3 linked regions of the Rhinolophus ferrumequinum genome follow. The protein of the gene in region 1 interacts with the protein of each later gene in a biochemical or structural test. Links are inferred from orthologs where the notes say so. Each region holds a gene or a part of one and is shown in the gene's direction. Other genes may lie near its edges. The genes, in order: UBA6, UBE2G2 and UBE2T.

Evidence for each region.
Region 2: the proteins of UBA6 (region 1) and UBE2G2 form a complex in vitro, tested with the Homo sapiens proteins (2 studies listed by BioGRID, with this or other methods). The link is inferred for Rhinolophus ferrumequinum from reciprocal best matches to the Homo sapiens genes UBA6 and UBE2G2.
Region 3: the proteins of UBA6 (region 1) and UBE2T form a complex in vitro, tested with the Homo sapiens proteins (2 studies listed by BioGRID, with this or other methods). The link is inferred for Rhinolophus ferrumequinum from reciprocal best matches to the Homo sapiens genes UBA6 and UBE2T.

What each region holds. Positions count from the first base shown.
Region 1 is NC_046288.1:26,811,251-26,818,792, reverse strand, and holds the start of UBA6 (ubiquitin-like modifier-activating enzyme 6), read left to right. Parts: upstream 1-4,440; 5' UTR 4,441-4,478; coding exon 4,479-4,549; intron 4,550-7,542. UniProt on the Homo sapiens protein: Activates ubiquitin by first adenylating its C-terminal glycine residue with ATP, and thereafter linking this residue to the side chain of a cysteine residue in E1, yielding a ubiquitin-E1 thioester and free AMP.
Region 2 is NC_046285.1:107,865,864-107,873,538, reverse strand, and holds the start of UBE2G2 (ubiquitin-conjugating enzyme E2 G2), read left to right. Parts: upstream 1-4,627; 5' UTR 4,628-4,708; coding exon 4,709-4,751; intron 4,752-7,675. Other genes in the region: SUMO3 (small ubiquitin-related modifier 3), read left to right, coding at 1,194-1,286. UniProt on the Homo sapiens protein: Accepts ubiquitin from the E1 complex and catalyzes its covalent attachment to other proteins. In vitro catalyzes 'Lys-48'-linked polyubiquitination. Involved in endoplasmic reticulum-associated degradation (ERAD).
Region 3 is NC_046310.1:425,959-432,936, forward strand, and holds the start of UBE2T (ubiquitin-conjugating enzyme E2 T), read left to right. Parts: upstream 1-3,928; 5' UTR 3,929-4,050; intron 4,051-6,289; 5' UTR 6,290-6,337; intron 6,338-6,438; 5' UTR 6,439-6,499; coding exon 6,500-6,608; intron 6,609-6,978. UniProt on the Homo sapiens protein: Accepts ubiquitin from the E1 complex and catalyzes its covalent attachment to other proteins. Catalyzes monoubiquitination. Involved in mitomycin-C (MMC)-induced DNA repair.

The sequences.
Region 1 (7,542 bases):
GGATGAACCTAGAGGGTATTGTCTGAGTGTAGTTAGACAGCGAAAGACAAATGTTATATATTTTCACTTATAAATGGAATCTAAAGAACAAAATAAATGAAACAGAAACAAATTCATAGATACGGAGAATATTTTTATGGTTGCCAGAAGGGAGGGGGTTTGGGGGTGGGTAAAAAAGGGGAAGGGATTAAGAAGTACAAATTGGTTCTTACACAGCTGTCATGGGGGTGTAGGATATAGCATAGGGAGTATAGTAAATAATACTGTAATAACTATGTATGGTGTCAGATGGGTACTAGATTTGTTGGAATGATAGATGGTAGGGAGGTTGGGAGCAGGGTGAAAAAGGTGAAGGGATTAAGAAATACAAATTGGTAGTTATAAAATACTCATGGGGATGCACAGCATAGGTAATATAATCAATAACGTGGTAATAACTATGTATAGTGCCAGGGGAGGTACTAGTTAAGGCGATCACTTCTTCAATTATATAAATGTCTAACCACTATGCTGCACACCTGAAGTTAATATAAAATAATAATGAATGTCAACTATAATTGAAAAATTCTAAAAGGGGAGAAAAGCTAATGGAGAATAAGAGGTTCAAAGTTCCAGGTATAAAACAAGTATGTCCTGAGGATGTAATATACAATATAGGAAATACAGTCAGTAATATTGTGATAGTGTGGTACAGTGTCAGATTGTTGCTGGACTTATCGTGGTGATCACTTCTTTAGCAGAGGGAATATAACCAATAATATGTTAATAACTATGTATAGTGCCAGGTGGGTACTGTTGAATAACTATGACATACACCTGAAACTAATATAATATTGTATGCTACCTATATTTTAATAAAAACCATTTAAAAAATTGAAATATCCCACTCTTGGCTAGAAGATCTAAATAATTATGATGCAAAGAAATAGCCTCTACTTCCAATCCAGGGGCAGAACTTCAGAAAAGTGTTTGTGGAAACATCTATTTTAACCTTTTAGTTTTCAAGAAAAAAAGCATCCTGGGTCCATGTTGCAGTCCAGACCTAACGTAGACCCTTTACATACAGCCTTGCTTCCTTTTGAGCCTATTAAAACATTTTAAAACTTCATTTTAAGTTCTCCTAAACATTTAGTGAGGCAGTTCATGGTTCTTCTGGAATGTTGGAGTACCTCCTTGCAATGGATAGAAACCTGACTTTCTTGGGATACAGTTTTGTTCTTGATGGACCTAGGCTTATTGGACTAGGAAGACTGTCTCACATTAAAAGTTCAGGAACATTAATGTCACATAAAAATGAGCAACCAAAAAGTATCAGGTTTTTGTCCTATACAGTTATTATAGGAAAAAAGAGAGTAAGGAACATAACATCATCATTACAGATAATGAAAGTATGCCTGAAAGATGTGCCACAAAAATATATCAAAACTGTAAGTTAATATTTTGAAACTAGCTAAATGAGATTAAGAAAATGATACACGGTATGAAAGAACGTGATTCGGAATTAGAAAATCTCAATCAACTCAATGGGGGATCCTTTCACAGTGTATACCTATATCAAATCATCACATTGTACACGTTAAATATCTTAGTTTTATTTGTCAATTATATTGCAATAAAGCTGGGAGAAATCAGAAAAACTCAGAAATGAGGTGACAGAAACAGGAAAATTAGTCACAGAAATAAACTAAAGGGAACACAAAAGCTAGTAAACACAACAGATTGATATTTTCCGTAAAGAAATCTTCTGTAAAGAATCCTTAGGCTGATGCTTCTCTAATCATTTTAGTTTTCTGATGATCATTCTCTAATAATTCTTTAGGAAGGGTTCATGGGAACAATAGTCTCATCAAATGTTGGTATCATATCAAGCATTGATAATAGTTTATACCCTTTGTACATGAGAGTTGATTTGCTAGATACAAATTCCTTGGCCCACACTTTTTTCCTTGAGTATTCTAAATGTTATTCCATTCTCTTCTGTCAAAAAAGTTTCACTGTCAAAGTCTGGTGATATTCCAATTTTCTTTTCCATTTTACAAATGTGATAAAACATTAAAATCTGTTAAATCCAGGTATTTGTTATATTGTATGTTTGAAATTATTCACACCATATTTCATCAAATGTAAGATGACCTCAATTTTAAGAACATTATTGTTTTCTGTATTAATAAAAAAAATGCATTCTAATTTCAGGGATGTTAAAATGTGAAGAAATGTGGGTCTTAGATGAAATGCAGTATATTCATATCATACTGTGTATAACAAATTACCATAAGCATAGTGGGTTAAAACCACATAAATTTATTAGTTCACAGTTTTGCAGGTCAGAATTGGGGCACAGCATAGCTGGGTTCTCTGCCCAGAGCCTCACAAGGTTGAAATCGATGTATCAGCCAATTGTGTTCTGATCTGGAGCTTGGGTTCTTCTTCCAAGCTCACAGAGGTTGTTGACCAAATTTAGTTCCTTGCAGCTGTAGGCCAAGATCTCCATTTCCTTTTTGACTGCTAGCTAGGGGCGACTCTCAGCTCCTAGAAGCCATTCTCATTTGTTTCCATGCATTCCCTTCCCTCTTCAAAGCCAGCAAGGGAAAATCTCTCTCACATCAAATTCCCCTTCCAGGAAAGCCCAGTCTCTTTTAAAGGTAGAGTGGCAATATACAAATAAACAAATAAATATACACCAGAAGGTGATACCGTGTTTCTCCGAAAGTAAAACCTAGCCAGACCATCGGCTCTAATGCACCTTTTGGAGCAAAAATTAACATAAGACCCGATATTATATTAATTATATTATATTATACCTGGTCTTGTAGTAAAATAAGACCAGGTCTTATATTAATTTCTGCTCCAAAAGATGCATTAGAGCTGATGGTCCAGCGAGGTCTAATTTTCTGGGAAACATGGTGGATGCTAAAAAAGAAAATAAAAGAAGTTTACATTTGCATTTCCATCTGTCTAGAATACTCTTCTGCTAGAATATCTAGCAGGGCTCACACCATTTAGGTTTTGGCTCGAATGTCACTTCCTCAAAGAACCTGTCTGACTATCAAAAATTGTCTTCCGCCTCATCCCCAAGTCACTTTCTATCTCCTTGCCCTTTTTCAATTTCATTATATTTACTTTCTGAAATTATAATTTCATTCATTTTACATTTTTTGGCTTCCCATAGTGAGACTGACAAAATCAGGGATCACTGTATGTCTATCGCCTGATTATTGTCTAATCATTAGCTCCTAACGTTTAATAGGTATTCAATATTTAGGAAGGAAAGAAATGAGGGGGGAATTGGAAGGAAATACAGAAATTGGCATTATCTGTGGGGTGGGACAAAGATATTTATATTTATTAACTTTAGAATAAAGAGTAAAGACAGGGATACAGTTAGTGCTAGAGCAGAACCTTGAAAGAATGGGACATAGACCAAGGTCATTCTAGTGGTTATGTAGAAAAGGTACACAACTGGATTGAGAAATCTGAAAGATGCCACAGGTGAACAGCATTAAGTTTCCAGGTATTTGGAGATGTATAATTTTGAAAAGAGAATGGAAAGGCACAAAGGATAATGCAGCTTTGCCTGGACCCTCTCTGCACACTAGAGGAAGAAGTTCTAATTAAGTAAAAATATCATGCATTGCAAAAGATATATAATATATACAAAGTCAAAGCATATGCTAATTTTTTAATCCTACACCTGTTTCTTCAAATATAGTTATTTAGAATGAAAGACAAATCCTAATATAATAGTGTCCCGCTAACTTTTGTTTTCTAAGAAAGGTGAAGGGGAGTCAATGGAAAAAGAATTAGATGAGAAGTTCCTAGACATGTGTTCTGGTACTTAACCTGACAGTGAATAGCTCTGTGACCAGCTCTTTGACCTTGACCAAGTCACTTACACTGACTAGAAGTTCCTTTCCTCCACCCAAAAAGTGAAGGGGCACACTGATGACATGTCATTTATAGCTCTCAATATCACGATTCTTTTAAACCTGTGACAGTGCCTGACATGTAGTATACGCCCAAAATTATCTGTTAAACGTACAACGTCTTAAAATGAAATTTCAGATGGAAACCTGGAGTTGCCTATTACTAATCTTCGTTATTTATTTACGAAATGAAGAGGTTTCCTCTTCTCGCTACAAAATACAAGAATTTTGCTACGCAGCCCCACCATTTCGTTGGCCACTAGAATGCTCTGTGCTTGGCCGATGAGCCAGAGGTGACCACGCATAACTTTACTGTTTTGATTTCACTTGCGGATCCGGGTCACACCAGCGCCGGTCACTGCAGCCACCTGCTGCAAAGCCCCCTCCGAGACCACACCCAAACCGGAAATCACGACGTCCCGGGGGTTGATGGGAAGGCGCGGCCAGCCTGCGCGCTCCCCAGGCCCGCCCCCTCCGGTGATGTCACTGCCCGCCCCTTGACCCCCGCGGTCCCGCCCCCTTCCCTGTACCCGGAGGCGGCGACTTCACTGGACCATGGAGAGATCCGAACCGGTGGTCGCACCTCAGCCGGAAGAGGCATCCTGCTCTTCATGGGGAGCCGGCAGGTGAGAGGACGCGTGTGGGAGCGAAGAAACGAGGGATGGCGGGGACCCGGACGCCAGCTTTCTGTTTCTCTCCCCGTCGGGTGGGGAGAGAGCTCTCGTGAGGCCGCGGGGCCAGGCAGAGCCGGCCCGGGGAGGCGAGGGGAGCGCGCGGGGTGGGTGTGGCGGCCTGCGCTCCGACCTCTGCGGCTCCCGGCGTCTCTGAGGAAAAAGTCCACTTCTCATCGGTTTCAGCGCTTTCTCAGTTGCGGTCGGGGTCTGCCATCCTCCTTCCTCCTAGTTACCGGACGGGAAGGGTGCCGGGGGGAGGGCTCCAGCCGAGAGTTCTGGCCCGGGTCGTTTGATGTGAGCTTTCCCAGACCTGGTTGCCTAACACCTTCTTCCCTCCTTTTGGTAAAATGAAAGCTAAAAGTTCTGTGCGTGATCCTCCATGGAGTTTCTCCTTTGAAAACTATTATCAGAGAGAAGTTGGTAATAATGAAATCAGTGGCTGTCAGAACACCCTGAGGTCCTCTGTTGACCACAGTTAAAAAAAAAAATCAGGGAAAAGAAACACGAGTTACTCATTTTTATTTCCCAGTTGGGGTTGAGGTTCTAAACGTCTTTTCCACTGCTGCAAAATTATGGAGTGGGTGGGATGTTCGTATAGTTCTTGTTTCAATCACCTCATAATTAATAAAGGAGATGTTGCATCCTGCCCATTACCAGAATACAATATGCTAAAGGTGATGGGTATGTGATGTTGAGCTAAAGTAAGACTTTCATAAACCTGTAACTTTTTCACCAGCTTCAGATTGAAAGGGATGATTTTTGTACCATGATATTGCCTGCTGTTGTCAACACTGCCAGATTCACTTGGGGAATATTATGCAGTACAGCGACTCCCCTTATGTAAAGCGTTTTTGATTAACATATAGACCTTATTATAAAAAATGATTTTTGAAACATTCCAGTAAGGCAGAACTTTCTGAAAAGTAGACTCGTGACAGACATTTTAAGTGATATAGCTGATTAGAATGTAACTCTTCTCATTTTTACTTAAGAGCTTTACCCACTAGGCTATTGCCCTCCATGCAAGGAAGACAGCAAGTGAAAGTACTAGGGATAAGAAAATTGTGTGAGACGTAATTTTTTTATTTTCATATTTTGTTACAATGCCAAAACAGGGTATTATAGTGTATGCGTGTGTTTTTATTAGATAACTGACAAACACAGCTATTTTCTGGTTTGATTTCATGATTACAATCAGGAATATTTTTAATAGTTACCCATTTAATTAGCTAGAAGCAGGTATCATTTGATGCTACCATTCAGTGTTTGGTAAGATAAATGATAACATTTTGATTAACTATATTTACAAATCCTTTGGCTTGTATATCAATACCAGGCCTAGAAAACTGGATTCTAAAACTGAATTTCTTTCTATCACATTGTTTCTAGAATCCTGTAATTGATAATTAGAGTTTCCCAGAACCTGGAATAGATAACCGTGTTTCCCCGAAAATAAGACCTAGCCAGACCATCAGCTCAAATGCATCCTTTGGAGCAAAAATTAACATAAGACCTGGTATTATATTATCTTATATAAGACCCGGTATTATATTAGATTAGACCTGGTCTAATATATTAAATTAATATATCACATTAAAATAAGACCGGATCTTATATTAATTTTTGCTCCAAAAGACACATTAGAGCTGATGGTCTGGCTAGGTCTTATTTTTGGGGAAACACAATATTACACTTTTATTAAGATGATATTGATTTTAGCTGTCATGGTGGCTCAGGCCCAAATGCCTCAGGCTGATTCCCTGTGCCAGGGAACCATCTCTGTTTCCCAGTGTTTATCCTATTAACATTTTTCTTTCTACGCCATGCTGTGAAGATATTGGCATGGGCTGCGGTAAATGATATATATCATTATAAGTATGTCTTGTCATACTAGTATGTTTAACTTTTTAATTTTTAAAACTCATTGAACATATTTTTTGAGTGTTTTTGATATTCCTACTATGAGAGGCAGTAGGCAGTATTGAGTGTTGGTCAACAGCTAGACTGCTGAGGTTCAGATTCTGACTCTGCCATTTACCTGCCCTAACTTTCAGCAGGTTATTTAAGTTAACGTTTGTCACCCTCGTTTTTCCCCCCCTTTATTCAGTGGAGATGGTAATAGTGCCTATTTCATAAAGTTATTGTAAGGGTTAACTGAGTTATAACATCTAAAGCATTAAAACAATATGAGCACAGTGTTATTATTAAATGCGAGGTACTGTTTTAGGTATATGGAATACAGTAGTGAATTTTTTTTTACAGTAGTGAATTCTTAACGGATCATACATTCTATAGGGGAAAGCAGACAGTTAATACACAGTTAATGATAAGTGATTTGAAGAAAATACAGCAGGTGAAATATGATGATGGTTTGGCCTTAGATTATGCTGATTGAAATAATAAGAAGTGATCAGATTTAAGATCTCTTTTGAAGAGCTAACAGGACTCAGAGATGGAGAAAATGAAGGAAAAAGTTAAGATCCCTAGATATTTGGGCCTGAGCAAGTACATGGTAGTACCAAAAACTGAATTGGGAGAGACTGGGGAAGAGTAGATTAAGCAGGGGGGATTGAATTCTGTTTTGGGCTTGTTATATTTGTGATACTAACTGAACAACAGAATATAGATACTGCTTTGGCAGATGTGTAAAAGCTGGAGGTTACAGGAGAGATCAAACATGGAGTAATAAGTTTAGATATTATCAGTATATTGGTAAATTCCAAGGACCAAATAAGATTATCTAGGAATACTGTATATTAGAAGTTTATGGGGCACGCCAACAAAATTGTTAAAATATAGATTCATCAGAATATATGTAGCAATGATAAAACAACACCTGAGAAAATAACCATGGGCTGTAATTTTGCAGTACACACAGAAAGCGTAGGCAATTAGTGAATTTAATTTTGACCTATTTTTAAAATCCTAGAAAAGTGGTGGATAGT
Region 2 (7,675 bases), on another chromosome or scaffold:
TGGGCGGGGCCCACGGACTTAGACGTGGAATTTGCATTAGTCACTGTCCCTGCCCTCGGCTTGCTCCTCCTGCCCTGAGCATTTGCACACAAGGGGTGTGGGTGGAAAGACGTGTGCACATGTCATCCATGGCACACTTAGCTTTTGTAAGCGCCTGCCCTCCCCACCCTGTCTGTAAGTGTTGGTCCAGCGTGTCGCAGGCTTCAGTCGCAGGTGGAGGCCGAGGTTCAAGCTGTGTTCTTGTCCTTCGCCAGCCCAACAGCCCGACGGCATCGTAGTCCAGAGCCAGACTCTGTTGGAGTGTCTGGTCCTTCAGAGTCCCCATCAGTCTGAGTAGCTATGTGCAGGCGACGTGCTACCACCTTCTTGAGGGACTCTGCTGCTGCTAAGACAGTGGTTGGCTCTGTGAGGATTCCTCGGGGGCTTGCACTGTGGGGGCTAGAAAGCTCTCCTCCCGCCTGTCACTCTGGCTCCCGCCCACGTGGTGTCTGGGGCACCCGCCAGCCCAGACGGTACTTCTCTGCATTTCTGAGAACATTTCTGGGAAACATTACTGCCCGGTTGGTCTCTGTACAAACTGGTAGCAGCTTCCTTCAGTTTCGTGAATAGACAGTCATCAGGTAGACATCTGTGCCCGTGCTGTCAGAAAGCGAAGGTGGGGAGCTTTTGCCCCATGTAGGGCCTGGTCATGACAGGGAGGGGCCGGGCGGGGGGGCAGCAGTGGCCCCTCCCAGCGGGTCCTTTGCTCATTGGCTTTGCTTTGGAACCCGCAGGCACCGCCCACTGCCCTGGTTATGAAGAGGCCCCGCTCACTGGATGTTCCTTATTGGAATCTTTGTCTAATTTTCAGGAAGAATTTGAGATACTTGTTCATTTTTTAATGAGGCTTAGTTTTCCTTGCTATCAGTTAAAGTCGGCTTTGAATATTCTTTTGTGAATTTCGTTAGGGGAAGCTTGGAGAGTAAGTGGCTTATAGGAAATTCTGGACAAAGCCTTTTCCCTGCTTGTGACCCGGGGAGGAGGCCACGGAGCATAGGTGTGATCGGGCAGTGTTGACCAGTGCGGGGGGTGGTGTGCATTAGTGAGGGGGACTGCAGTGGGCACGGTGTTCAGAGCAGTGTCCGTACCTCTGATGGAGTGACAACTAACAGCTTCCCCCTCTCTTGCTGTGCCTGTCCCGTCGACCCTGCCAGCTGGAGATGGAGGACGAAGACACCATTGACGTGTTCCAGCAGCAGACGGGAGGCTCCTGGAAGACTGGCTGCTGCGCAGGATGCGGCCTCTAGAGGGACCGGCCCCACTTTGTCACCGTCCTTGTTTGCTGTTGAATAGTGAATACGTGACCATGCGAATCACAAAGGAGTCTGCGGAAACCGAGGACCTCCACCAAAATTCCTTTCCTCTGCGACGTCCCGCGGGTGCAACTCAGAACTGTCTGCAGGGACACACCCTCGCCTAATACCTGGCCAGGCAGTTGTCATTTTGTTTAGGAAAATGAGCGTGAGTTTTTTGGGTTTGTTTTTGCTCTCATTTTTGTTTCCCCCCCACCTCCTATGACATTTCCCCAAGCTTGTGGCCTGAAGGTCCACTGTTAGTCTAGACGGGGATCTTTTCCCAGGTATTGACCCCCCCACCCCGCCACTGCTTATTCCAGTCACATAGAGGGCTCACGTCACTGCAGTGGGGGTGCTTCTGTGGGACAAGTCGGGGGGCATGGTGGGGGTGGGAGACAAACTTCCACTTAACTATTTCTTGTAGGCACAGGTTTTTTTAAATGCCAAATGTTACAAATTTAAGTTTTGTGAGAATATGGTAGAGTTGAAGGGAGAATATTGGAATGTTTTCTAAAAGGTAAAAAGGAAAATAAGTGAGTCCCTCAGTAACATGGCCCTGGGTGCTCTGTTCCACCAGAGTCCCCTCGGGTGAGGGTGGGTGCAGTGGCCGTGACACTGCATGGGCGAAGCCTGGCACAGCGAAATGGGCTTTTCCCCTTTTACTACAGAGGAAAGCAGTCCCCACATTTCTCACTTGGTGATAGTACGCTCAGATTTCTTCTGGTATTTGCTTCTGATGAATAATTATGGTCTTGATATAAAAAAGTACGATTAAGTATTGCTGAATTTGCAGTGACGTTTTGTGTAAAAGCTGTTTCCAAGTGTGGTCACACGGCCTGTGCAGAGACAACTTCCTGTCCCTCTCGAGGGCTGTGCTCTGCTGCTTCCCAAACCGTAGCTGTGACTTCAGTCTGTGAAACGTTTGGGGATCTGTACCTGTTAAAACTTTTAGTTCCCCTCCTCCCTCTGTACGGACCCACTGCTGCCTGGTGGCCCTGCTCTGCCTCGTTCTGTCACCTGGACAGTGCGACCATGACTGTCATCTCTTGCTTGCCCGGAATCTTGCCTTTCCTTTGTGTTTTGCTGTTGGGGTGTGGGTGGGGTGTCTGCTGGCCATGTTAATTCACCAGTTTGTACATTCTTTGTTGTCCTTTACTACTGTAAACAGTAAATATAGTTTGGTATTCTGTCTCTTGTATTAAATACTGCATTTGGAGGTTGGGGCTGACTGTCACAATTCAGCATTTGTAGTGACCATTCAGCGAGGCCACCCAGACTTCCATTTAAAGGCTAGTTGCTGAAAAGTAAGTATCCACCTGCTGCACCCCTCCCCACACCCCTGCTGGGCTGGGGCCGAGGGGGCCATCCTGTCTCCTCCCGAAGCTCTTCCGTGACAGGTGAGCCAAACGGGCATTGGGATGCATTGGGATGCATTGTGATGGACTTTTCCTCTCCTGGGTGTCTCCTCGGTGTCTCGTGAAGAGAGGGTGGGTTTTATTTATTTATTTATTTTTAATTTTACCGGGGAATATTGGGGAACAGTGTGTTTCTCCAGGGCCCATCAGCTCCAAGTAGTTGTGCTTCAATTAGTTGTGGAGGGCGCAGCTCAGCTCCGAGTCCAGTTGCTGTTTTCAATCTCTAGTTGCAGGGGGTGCAGCCCACCATCCCATGTGGGAATGGAACCCGCAACCCTGTTCAGAGCTCGCGCTCCTGTGCTCTAACCAACTGAGCCATCCGGTCGCCCCAGAGGGTGGGTTTTGGAGGCAGTGGATCTGGACATCAGGCTGGGTGGCTCACGTTGTTGGGTACTTGACTGTCAGACTTCTATTTTCCTCTGTGCGGTTGACAAGCTACTCTTTGAAATTGAGTGAACTGATGCTAAGTTGACAGAGGACTTCCAGTGGACTCTGCTGTGACAAAACCAGGGGTGAAAGGGAGTGAGCTGTTTTAGTCCATCAGGTGAGGGTCAAGAGTAGCTGGGAAAAAGTGCGCTCTAGCCAGGCTTACACCAGCAAAAGGAGGTGGGCTGAAGCACATTACAGGGGTGAGTCATTTGCAGGTGCCCTGGAAAAGCTGGGGGCGGGTACATCTCACAGAGGGGCCCCTGCATTTGTGCCTTCAGTGGAGTGAGCAGTGCTGAGCTGCAGGTGCGACAGTGCAGTGCTGCCTGAAGTCCCCCACACCTGACCGGAGAAGGAAGCTGTCCTTGAGGTTGTCTTTTCTCTTAAAATTTATGCAAATGGTGCATTTGGAATAACAGCTCTCAGTATTAATATTTTAAAAATGGTAAGTTACACATCTAAATCCCAAGATCTTTGGGTTAAATTCATGCTTCAGGAGGAGATAGCTGTATTTATCCTGTTAACTGGTTTCCAGATCCCAGCTGGCACTGCCCCATGTCAGCACTGAAAACCCCACCGTCGTCCTGCATAAACTTACAGGTGGCGAAGCATATTAATGCTCCACCTTAAAACACGGGTTCAGCCGTGACATACTTTTTATATTTCAGAACTTTAATTGCCAAAATACAAAAGACTAATTTTTTTCTAACTTGCTGGCCTCCCCAAGGTGCGATGCTTAGGGAGCCATGAGACATCACCTGTTACTCAGAACCCTGTCATCCTCGGCAGGCAGCGGGCTGGCTGCGGCTCGGGTCTCCAGTGGGGGCCAAGTCTTGGGCACCCCGAGTCCCGGCTGGGCCGCGATGACGCGGAATAACGCCACCACCGTCACCAACCTTCTCTTTCCAAACCTAACCCCTGTCCCCTGTCGGGAGGTAGTCGGGGCATCGATGTGTGGATGTCTTCGGAGCCGGTCTCCTTCGCCCCTGGGCCTGGCGTCAGTAACCTGCCCCTAGGGCAGGGGTGCCGGCGAGCGCGCCCGCCCGTCGCGCCCACGTGCAGTGGCCGCTTCAGCGACTGCAGCCGCCTCCTTCTCTACCCCTCCTCCTGGGGTCTCTAAAAAACACCCCACCAGAATGACGTCTGCCCAGCCCGCAGTCCATCGCCCAGCCACCGGTCCCGTCCTCCATCGGACCCTCCTGCGGCCAGTGTGACGGGACAGTGTGCGCCTGTCGCCCAGGATCTTCTGGGGAAACCAGGGCCCCGCAGGTATAAGGGCCGCCGGAAGCGGCGTTGACCCCACAAAGCGGCTGAGGGGCCGGGCGTCACCCCCGCTCACCCGACCTCGGGGCCACAGCGGCCCCGCCGCGCCCCCGACAGCGCCCGCCCGCCGGCCCGCCACTGCGCACGCGCGCGCCGCGCCCCGGAAGGGCTTCTGCGTCCGGCCGGCGACCCGGAAGCAACCCGGGCTTCGGGCGGGAGGATACGAGCGCTTCGGAGGCAAGGCCGGACCGCACAGCTGTTACCCCGACGATGGCGGGGACGGCGCTCAAGAGGCTGATGGCCGAGTACAAACGTGAGTTCCGGGCCGGCGCGGAGCCCTGGGCGGCGCCGTGCCTCCTCCCGGCCCCTCGTGCCGCCCTGGCTCGGCCTCCCTGGCCCCGGCCCCGGCCCTGGGCCCCCGTCCCCGGCCGCTGCTCCGAGAGGCCCTGGGCGCGCGGGCCGGGGGCGCTGCGGGCCGCCTCTGGGCGGTGTGCGGGCCCCGGGGTCGGACTCCTCGCCGCACGGAGCGTGCCCCTTTGTGCACGGGAGGAGCGAGCGCGTCTTGTGGCGGTAACTTGGGAGCCGCAGGGTCTCCGGGCTGCGCCTCCTCTCCCGGTGTCGGTACGTGGTGCGGAGAGCGCTCGGGAGGGGCGAGGCCACGTTCCTGCCGCCTTGGTTTAGAAATGCGTCAGGAGTGACGTCCAGTGTCCGTTTGTTCCTTAGTTCTGGCTTTGGCCCTTTCGGTAATGGAGAGAACTCCCTGCTTCCAGCGTGCGGGGAGGGGGCAGCGAAGCCGAAAGTGCCCGCGAGAACTTAAAGGGCCGGTTTAGGGGAGAAGCGCGTTGTGGTGAGTTCGCGGTGAAAGGTCGCGTTCTGGTTTTCTCGCCTAAGGAGCGGAGCGTTTGGACGGTGCCACCCCCGTCCTCCTAGGCAGTGCTCAGCAAAGCGCCTTAGTGCTTCCCGAGCCGTCCCTCTGTCCAGCCCGCGGAATGCTCCCGGGACAGTTGCCGTGACCCGCCCGGGGGTGCCATTCTGAGCTGGGGGCCCGAGTGGCAGCCCGCTCCTGGGTGACAGCAGGGCCTGCGTGTGCTTCCCGGCTCTCCCACCTTGGCTCGCCCCTTCGCCTCTGCGCGTCCCTCACCTGGAGACGCGAACGCCTCACGACAGACCTCATAGGTAGCTCTTGATCATGTTCGATGTTGTTGTTGTAGTTACATTGCACGTACCTTCGGAAGAAAGTTGAAAATAATGACTTAATGAAAATAATTGATACATATGCATGCAGCTCAGTTTCCTAAACCATGTTGGTGGCACTGCGTGGGGAGAGGTGATTAGCAAACTGTCGCAGATGCAGGCGCAATAAAATAATTTGGACAATACTCTCCACGTTGGGCCCTCTGGAGTAGGAACAGATGCTTCCGGGAGACTTGAGAGTGAGGGGACACGGGGGTGAGGTGGGGGCTGTGGCCTCTGTCTCCTGGGAGTCCTTCGGTTCCCTGCCACCCTGCTCTGTGCTTCTGTGTCTGGCTTAGTCTGTTTGGCCTTGTTTCTAGACCACGAGTGAGTATTATCTTTCTTGTTTCTGTGGAGAAGGAATCTGTTAAGCCCCTTCACGGGAATGAAGTTCCGGCTGCTGCTTCAGTCCAGTCGTTGTTTTGTTGAACTTGTATTTCCTCAGGATATTTGCATTGGCCAGGGCGATTTTTCTCTTCACTCAAAGCTTCATCCATTATTTCAACCATGTTGTCAGTTTGCAGTAATGGAATGTATATAATATTTGACTTTCAAAGCTGTATCACAGAAGTGTATTATGTGTGCGTGTTAATATGTGGCACGTGGGAGCCTGTGCCGGCAGAAGTGTACACATGTCCCGAGATCCCTGTCCCCGCTTACGCAGTGGGACACCAGCCTAGGCTCTGCTGAGAGGGGACTTTGCAGCTGTAACTGGCTTACTAACGACCTGACTTTAAGACAGGACGATTATCGTGGATTATCAGGGTGCAACCCAGTAATCGCACGAGGCCCCAACACAGAAGGGGAAGGCAGGAGAGGAGAGGCGGGAGAGGAGGTCCTGAGGAGGGGAACTGGGAAGAGGGGCCAGGAGCTCAGGAAGGTGGAACCTGAGAATGAATGGTCCCTGGCCGAGCAGCCAGGAACCTGGACCTCATCCTACAGCCGTGGGAACCAAATTCCCCAACACCCGGAATGGGTTTGGGGGGCCGCCCTGCCAACACCTTGACTGCTGCCTTGTGAGACTAAGCAGAGAACCTTCCTGCCCAGCCTCTGACACAGGAAGCGCGTCGTGGGGGGTTGCTGTAAGCCACTGAGTGTGTGGTGAGTTGTCCTGTGAGCGATAGGAAGTGAAGTCTGTTGTTGAGGGGTGTTGTTGTTGCTGTGTCTTAGTAACGTGGTCATGTTCCACTGACTGATTCTTGTCTTTTGTGTCTTAGCGTCTAGTTCGTCCTCCTACCAGTCTGCAAGGTGGCACACCCACACAATCAGCTGCCCTGTGGCAGGGGCTTAGATAGGCTTGGCCAGGGTCAGGGCCAGGCGTGCTGTCCGTCCGTCACCGTCGCAGGAGTGCAGTCGACCTTGGCTATGATTCTGCCCAGGCCCCCGCTTTTACAGGAAGTTGAACACTGGAGAGGCAAAATGATTTGCTTCGGTTCTTAACACGAGAAAAGGAGCCAGGTAAAGAACGCAGTGTTTTAAACGGATGCCTTGTTTAGATGTTTGTCTTCACTCCTCCCCTGGCCTTTCCCAGGACGGCAGAGGTAGACTTGGGTTTGAGTGTCCGGGGCTGCCCTAACAAAGTGCACCAGGGGGTGTCTTAACACGACAGACACGTGTTCTCTCACAGTTCTGGGGCCGGAAGTCCCACATCAAGGTGTCAGGAGGGCCGCTCTCCCTCTGAAGGCCCTGGGGAAAGGCCCTTCTCGCCTTTCTGGCTTCCGGTGGCTGCCACCATCCTTGGCATTCCTTGGCTTGTGGTGGTGTCACTCCGGTCTCTGCCTCTGTCTTCACGTGGCATCTTCCCTCCTATAAAAGTGCCGGTCAGTGAATTAGGGCCACCCTAGTCCAGTGTGACCTCATTGGAACTTGAGTTCGTCATCAGGCCCCCATTTCCAGATGAGGTCACTGTCACAGATTCTGGCGGACATTAATGAACCCAGTGCAGTAGGAACCCCAAACTCACGTGTATAAAACTGAGCCCCTACTCTTGCTGCACAGTGTTGC
Region 3 (6,978 bases), on another chromosome or scaffold:
AGAAAACTGCTCCGGCAGAACAGTGAATCCCTGAAGGAACACATGGACTTCTCGGTGCTCTCTGAGCCCATGAAACGGTCCCTCCCGGAATCAGATCTCAACCTTAACATCCCAGGGACACGGGAAAAATAATATCCACCTTCTCAGAGTTCAGAAATTTAAAATGACGAACGTGGGCCTATCAGCATCCATAATATTTATATTCAGCTCTTTGTTAGGTGGGATGTAAAGCTCTAGAATTTAAATCTGAAAAGTCCATGCTTAATTTTCTCCTTTCGGATCTTGCCCAGGTCATGGTGCTGATTTCAGATTCCTCTCCTGGGAATAAACACACCACCTGGCACATCTACCTCAAAGGGTCACTGCTGAGATTCCCATGGGGAGAGGCATGAGAAATAAGTTCAAACAGCAGAAAGCCATACAAGTGTTGGTTGCTACTTCAGGGCACAGTTATGAGCAGAGAAGCAGCAGACACGATAGGGTGAAGAGAAGAGAAAGGATGCAAACAGGTGAGGAGTAATTTTAAGCTGCTGGCTGATCCACTGAGAGAAGTGCCACGACACAAAATTGACGTATTATTTAGAAGTGGGTTCCTGTGCCAACACATTCACTTTGCACTGACAGCAGAAGGAAAATAAGAAAGATTAAGAGCGGGAGTCCAGCTCGCAGCTCACCAAAATAACTATGAAGTTCCCCTCGGGGAGGGAGGGTGGAGTTAGTGGACAGGCGTATGTGCAGAATATTGTTGCACAGTGAGAGAAGTGAAGGTGTCACCAAGCCACGGTCTGGACTGCGCTAAATACAGAGCATGGGGTTTCTACAGAGGGCTTTGGGGGAAAGAAAACGAGAAAGGCCATTCCATAAGGTCAAACACACACAAGTGGCTCAGAAGGCCCGCAGGGAGGGAACTGCTAAGAAGAGAGTGAGACAGGGCAGCCAGGACGTCAGGGGGTGCTAGGCGCAGGGGCCGCAGGAGACAAGCTGCTTTCGAATCGTTACAAATCAGCCAAACGAGAGGTGTGGTTTCGGAAGGTCCGCTTCGTACCCCCAACTTGGGATTCACTCCTTCGGGGACCTGAGATTCCTGAACGGGGCCCCACGCAGAAAAGGGAGCTGTGTGCAAGGGCGTCTGTCGGCCGGCACTGCCCCCGCACGCAGGGACACGGCGCCCAGGCACGCGGACCTGCGCGAGTGAAGATGGCTAATCGTAGGGACACGCCCGGCCCGAGCCCCCAGTAACCATGACAACCCAAGCAGGTGCAGGGAAGTCCAAACACTGCCAGGCAGGTGGGGACCCCGGGGTCGGGCAGAGGCCAGGTGAGCGCAGCAGGCGGGCGCGGACACCACCGCGCCGGCGCCTCGGGGTCGCAGGCTCACCTGCAGGGACGGCGAGGGTTACCTGGTGCAGCGCTGTCAAGCCGTCCACGTTGGTCGTGTTGATGTCGGCTCCTCTGGCCAGAAGCCTCTTCACCTCGTCGGTGTCCCCGCTCGAGCAGGCGGCCAGGAAGACCGCGCCGTCCTCGAAGCGGACCCGGGGGCCCCCGCGGCGGGTGCGCGGCTGCCGCTCGGCGGGCTCCTGCTGGGTCTGCGAGCCCCGCCAGCGCCGCAGCTGCTCCGCCCGCCGCACACGCGCCGACTCGGCCCGCTTCCCGCCCAGGTGCTCCAGCTCGGCCATCGCTCGGGCTCGGCAGCCGCGGCTGCACTACCGCCACCAGGTCGCTGCCGCTCGCGCTGCCGCCGCCGCCTCCCCAGGAGCGCGTCAGCCGGGGGCAGAAGGCGGAGACGCCCGCGCCGCCATCTTTATTCCTCCGCCGCCAGCGCCGCCGCGCGTTCCCGCGGCCTCAGCACGCAGGCGCGCCGCGCCCCGGGGCGTCACGGGACTTGTAGTCCGAGACCCGCCCCAGGGGCGCCCCGTGGTCTGCAGGGAACCACAAATCCCTGGATGCATCAGGAAAGGGGCGAGTGCCCGCAGCTCGCGGCTTCGCCGCGGGACCCAGCGGCGGGGTCACCTTTGCCCTAAAGCTGGAACAGGCTCCTGGACCGGCGGCAGCTCTTTGGGCATTTTGGGAGTCGTAGTTTATTCTTGCTATGACTCTAAACTAAACTTGGCTCCTTAATTATCACATCAGCTCTTCTTTGCAGTGGAAGAGAGGCCGTAATTATCCCTATTTTCCATTGGGGAAAACTCGGCCTAAAGTACCTGGTCTAGAGTTTTATTAACATTATAACATATAATACATTAACATGCAGGTATCACCGTGTCAGTGTGCGCGCGGAGAAGGGCAGTCGTACACACAGTAGGTACTTTATAGCTTCTAATTAAGTCTTACGGCGTCTGTGTGAACCGTGAACAACAAGCAATGGGCATGAAAAGGTGTCATAATATAGACTTTATAAAGCCTTGCTTCCCTTACTATGTGCATTAACTTACAGCTACAAGATATAATTTGTGGACATTTAAATGTATAGTGAGCTGGCTATGATGTATATATATATATATATTCTTGTATAAAGTGAAGAAACGTAAAGTAAATTCCAGTGTTCGAATACTGCTTCCAAAAGCAGTGAGACCGGTACACAGTGTATGAAACTCCGCAGCCTGGCTTCTGTTCCCACCAGTTACCATCCTTCCCTCTGGTGGACAAATGGAAACTGCACATTTAGCCCGAGGAGTGTTTTCCGCTTTTCTTTTATCCGATCCTTTCGGTTTGGTGGCCGGAACAGCAGGTGTTTGCTCGTTTTGTCCTCCCAGCTCTCCTTTCCACCAGACTCAATGGAGTTCCTGCTTTTTCTAAGAGACACGTTTAAGGCGCGTTTCAAAGAGAACCGCCCGAGGAAGAACTCGATGTCAGTTCTGAAGACAGAACTGTACCTGAGACGCCGTTACACTTGGCGTCGGAAGAAAATAAGACCCTGAAGGGTTAAGCCAGAAAACGGCAGTCAGAACAGAGGCAGCCAACGCCAGAGTCGGGACCCAAACACTTCACGACGATGCCAGCCGGGAGCTACACGGGACGATAGCAGGACCCCGTACGTTTGTCCTCCACAAGCTGCTTTAGGTGGTCCCTTCCGCCGACCGGCGTGAGGCTGCCCAGGGCGGGAATCGGGCAGAGCCCTGGTGAATGTGTGGGTCTCTCGAGCAGAGGGCACAGACCGTGCGGTGGTCACGGGGGACCCGGCGTGGACTGAAAGCAGAAATCACCGCCGGGGTCCCTTTGGGGGACTGGCCGTCTCTGCTAAGCGATCACTGTTCCGAAGCCGGCAATGCGCTGAGAGCAGTGAGATGAGGGTGGGGTGGGGTGCGGCTGGGGGTCTATTCCCAGAGGCCGGTCGATTCCAGCCGGTCCTCTGGAGCCCCTCAGGTGTGGGCCTTCGCTGCGCCGGCTGATGTCAGCAGGCACGTCCCGGCTCAGGAGCCGGAAGGATCGGCCCGGCGCAGGATCCCTTCGCGGTGAGGGAGGAATCGCCGCGTCCCGGGGGCGCCGGTTCCGTTCTGAGTGCTAACGGCCAGGACGCCTCGCTGAGCTACATCTGCAATCCTTCACGTTCATCCATTGGTCTTAGGAGACGCGTCCTCGGAAGCACATCCTCCTCCAAAGGGAAACATTTAAAACAAACGACGGGAAGTACCACGATCCTCCGCGCCAGATCCAGTGTTCCCGCTCCCTTCACTGTCCCTCCGGCGAGGCTGTTCCCAGCGCCTGCCCCGCTCGGACCAACAGAGCCGGCCTCGGAACCGGCCTCAGCAGCAGCACCGCCGCAGGCGGCACTCGCCGACCAGAGCAGCCGGCGTCCCAGCGGAACCCGCAGCGTCGCGCGCTCCCACTTGAAGCGACGCGCCCCAGAGCGCGGGCCAATGGGCGGCTGCGCTCGTCTCCCTGCGTCGCCGCGGGCCAATGGCGACGCGCGCGGGCGGGAGGCGGGGCGACGCCAACACCAGCCGGCGCATGCGCGGGTGGCCCCGGGGTGTCGGGCTGGCGCGGAGAGGCGGTCGGCTCCGGGAGCGAGGGGCTCGGTCTCCGGTCCCTGCGGAGGTCCCGTGGGTCTGGGGTGAGTCCCCCTCCTGCCTGACGTGTGGATTCCGTCCGAGGAGGAGCCCTCGGGAGAGCGGCCGTGGAGCGGCGGGGCGGTCGGCCTGTGGGGAGTCGCACGGGCGGACGGACGCTCGCTGGCGGCGTCGGTTCGGGCCCCGCGCACCACGGGGCTGCCGCGCGCGAGGCACCGCTGACGGGAAAGCCACCTAACGCCACCAGGGACCCGCCCCGGACCGCGCCCCGTGACGGGCCGTCGGAGAGCGGCGGCGGCCGGCGCGGAGAGGGGGACGGCGTGGGGGCCCCGGGGCCAGGTGCCGCTCGGCGCGAGCACAGAAGCGGGGGCCGGGGGCCAGTGGGGGCCCCTTAGAGAAGCTGCCCTCCCGCCCCCCGCGCCGCGCCTGCCGGCCGCGGTCCCGCGTGCCTGGCGCTGCTGCTGTTGAGGTCGGGGAGGCTCTTGCTGAGAAAAGTCGTGGCAATCTGTCCGTAAGAGGCACCTGCAGACGGTGACGTCAGCTGCCTCGCGGCCTCACGGCGTTGGGGAAGCTTGGAAGTGGTTCAGGGAGGAATTTATGTGCAAGGCGGGTGTAGTATCCAGAGTAATTCTCCGACCGCATTAATGTTTCGGAAAGAGCGTGTTGCTCGTGGAGGAGCAGCGAGCCTGGAGATGAGGACAAGGCGAGCGCAGGACCGTGCGTTTCACCTTGGCCGCGGCTCCCGCGCGAGTCCTGACCCCGCCCCTGCACCGCCCTGCACACCTGTCAGTCACCGCAGGCCACGCCCACCGCGTCAGCTTCTGTTCTCGGTAGTTCTCCAAGTACAAACAGTTTAGGGAGAGAATGTGTGGGATTAAAGTTGTTGCTGCCGTTTCACAGATTAATAAATTGACCTTTTAATTACTGTTTAAGGCTTTGTCAGTGACCCTGGCATGACCTAGTACACATAAGCCGTGTGGACTTGAGGCTTGCTGCCAAACTGAGTTTTTAGGCTACAAAACTGAGAACCAGATCTGAAATGGCAGGGACCACGCCAAGACCACGTGTCCGTGGAAGGCCTACCTTGAAAAGGTGGCCTTTTTTCTTAACATGCCCACTTGATCTCTCACCATTTATTTGAAATCATTTATTAACTCAACAGTCACCTAAGCAATAAAGAAAGAAAATAGGAACTTTGCCATTTAAGAGCTTTCTAATAAAAGTTATTAATTATATATACCGTATCATGCATCTTTGACATTTAGTAGGGCTCTATCTTGAGATCTTTTTGAATCTTCAAATATACTGTAGAATTTTCCCTCAAAATATCGTAAAGTATAATTTGGAAATGTAAGTGACTCAGATCCTTACTGATGCTAGAAATGCAAGATTTGAAGTCATTTATATAGTTCTTAAATGCACATTTTGTGTTTTCACTCGTTAGCTGACAGGCATTTGGGCTGTTTCCATTTTTTAGCTGTTATGAATAATGCTGCTATGAACATTTGTGTACAGATTTGTGCACAGATGTGTGTTTTCAGTTCTCTCGAGTGTAAACCTAAGAGTAGAACTGCAGGATCCCAAGGTCGTCTGTGTTAAACACTGGGAGGAGCTGGCAGGCTCTTTTCCAAAGCAGCTGCATCATTTTGCATTCCCCGGTAACGTATGAAGATTCCAGTTTCTCCACATGCTCCAACACTAGACACCATCTTTTTGATTATAGTTATCCTGGCGGTGTGAAGTTCTAGCTCATTGTGGTTTTGATTAGCATTTCCCCTAGTGACTACGATGTTGGGCATCTTTCCATACGCGACAGCTCTTCTATTCCACTTGGCACTGGGAGTTACAGGCAGGAGAAGGATTGGAAGGGAAGAAACCAGTGAGGCCTTGTGGGCTGGCTGTGTAGTTATCAACCCCAGCCTCACCACCCAAGTAGATCATCATTTGCATTGTTAAACTTTTGGTTACAAATCAGTTACATTTACATCCACCTCAGACACTTCAGCATTAGCTTATAAATGTCTCAGAGTCATGGCTCTGTCTGTGTCACTCTCCTTGCCACGCACACGTAGGCTTCCTCCCGCAGCTGGTAGTTGTCCATCCCTTTCTGTGCCAGCCGTGCTGAGGATGCTGCGTGAGCAAAATTAGACCCCGGCTCTGCCTCAGGAGCTTATAGTTTATCAGTGGAAACAGACCTCGATCTAAAATAGCTAGTCTTCTTGTTGTTCGTAGGACTTTTTGCATCTTTTATACTTTATTTTTAAAATTTGTTTGCTTAAATAGGTAACAAGAAGGAATGGAAAAGACTCCAACTCCCTTCTCAGAATAGGGGTTGGTATGAGGAATCTCTGTCCTTCATTTAATTGAAGCCATGTGCTAAAAACCCCCGTCATCCGTGCCGTCTATTTCATGGTTGTCCCTTTTCTCCCTAGAGTCCAGCCAGCTTTTCGTGTGGCCTAGTGAACTGTGTGGGGTTCCTGTTACTTGGGGATCATGCAGAGAGCATCACGTCTGAAGAGAGAGCTGGACCTATTAGCTGCGGAGCCACCGCCGGGCATCACATGCTGGCAAGACGGGGACCAGATGGGCAATCTGCGTGCGCGTAGGTACCAGCACGCTGGTGGTGGGTCATGGCGCTGCTGATGGTGCTGGGATCTGTACATTCCTGTGAAGTGGGGAACAGTGCGAGGGCAGCTGCCCACTGGCCTTCCCTGAGCTTGTTTGCATTTATAGAAGGTTGGCTTGGCACTTCTTCTTTGGCGTTACGTTACACCTGCTCACGTGTAGCCAAGATTTGGGCTTCTGCTCTGAAGCAGCATTTATCTCATATCTGTGAGGCTGGACAGGAAACGAAGTGCTTAGAGTCCGCAGTCCAGACAAATCAGATGTGCAGGCCGTGTCCTATCCATGGCCCTCATATTCCAACTTCTGTTTTGAGCTCCTATATGTCCTTGGCTTGACACCCACACCTT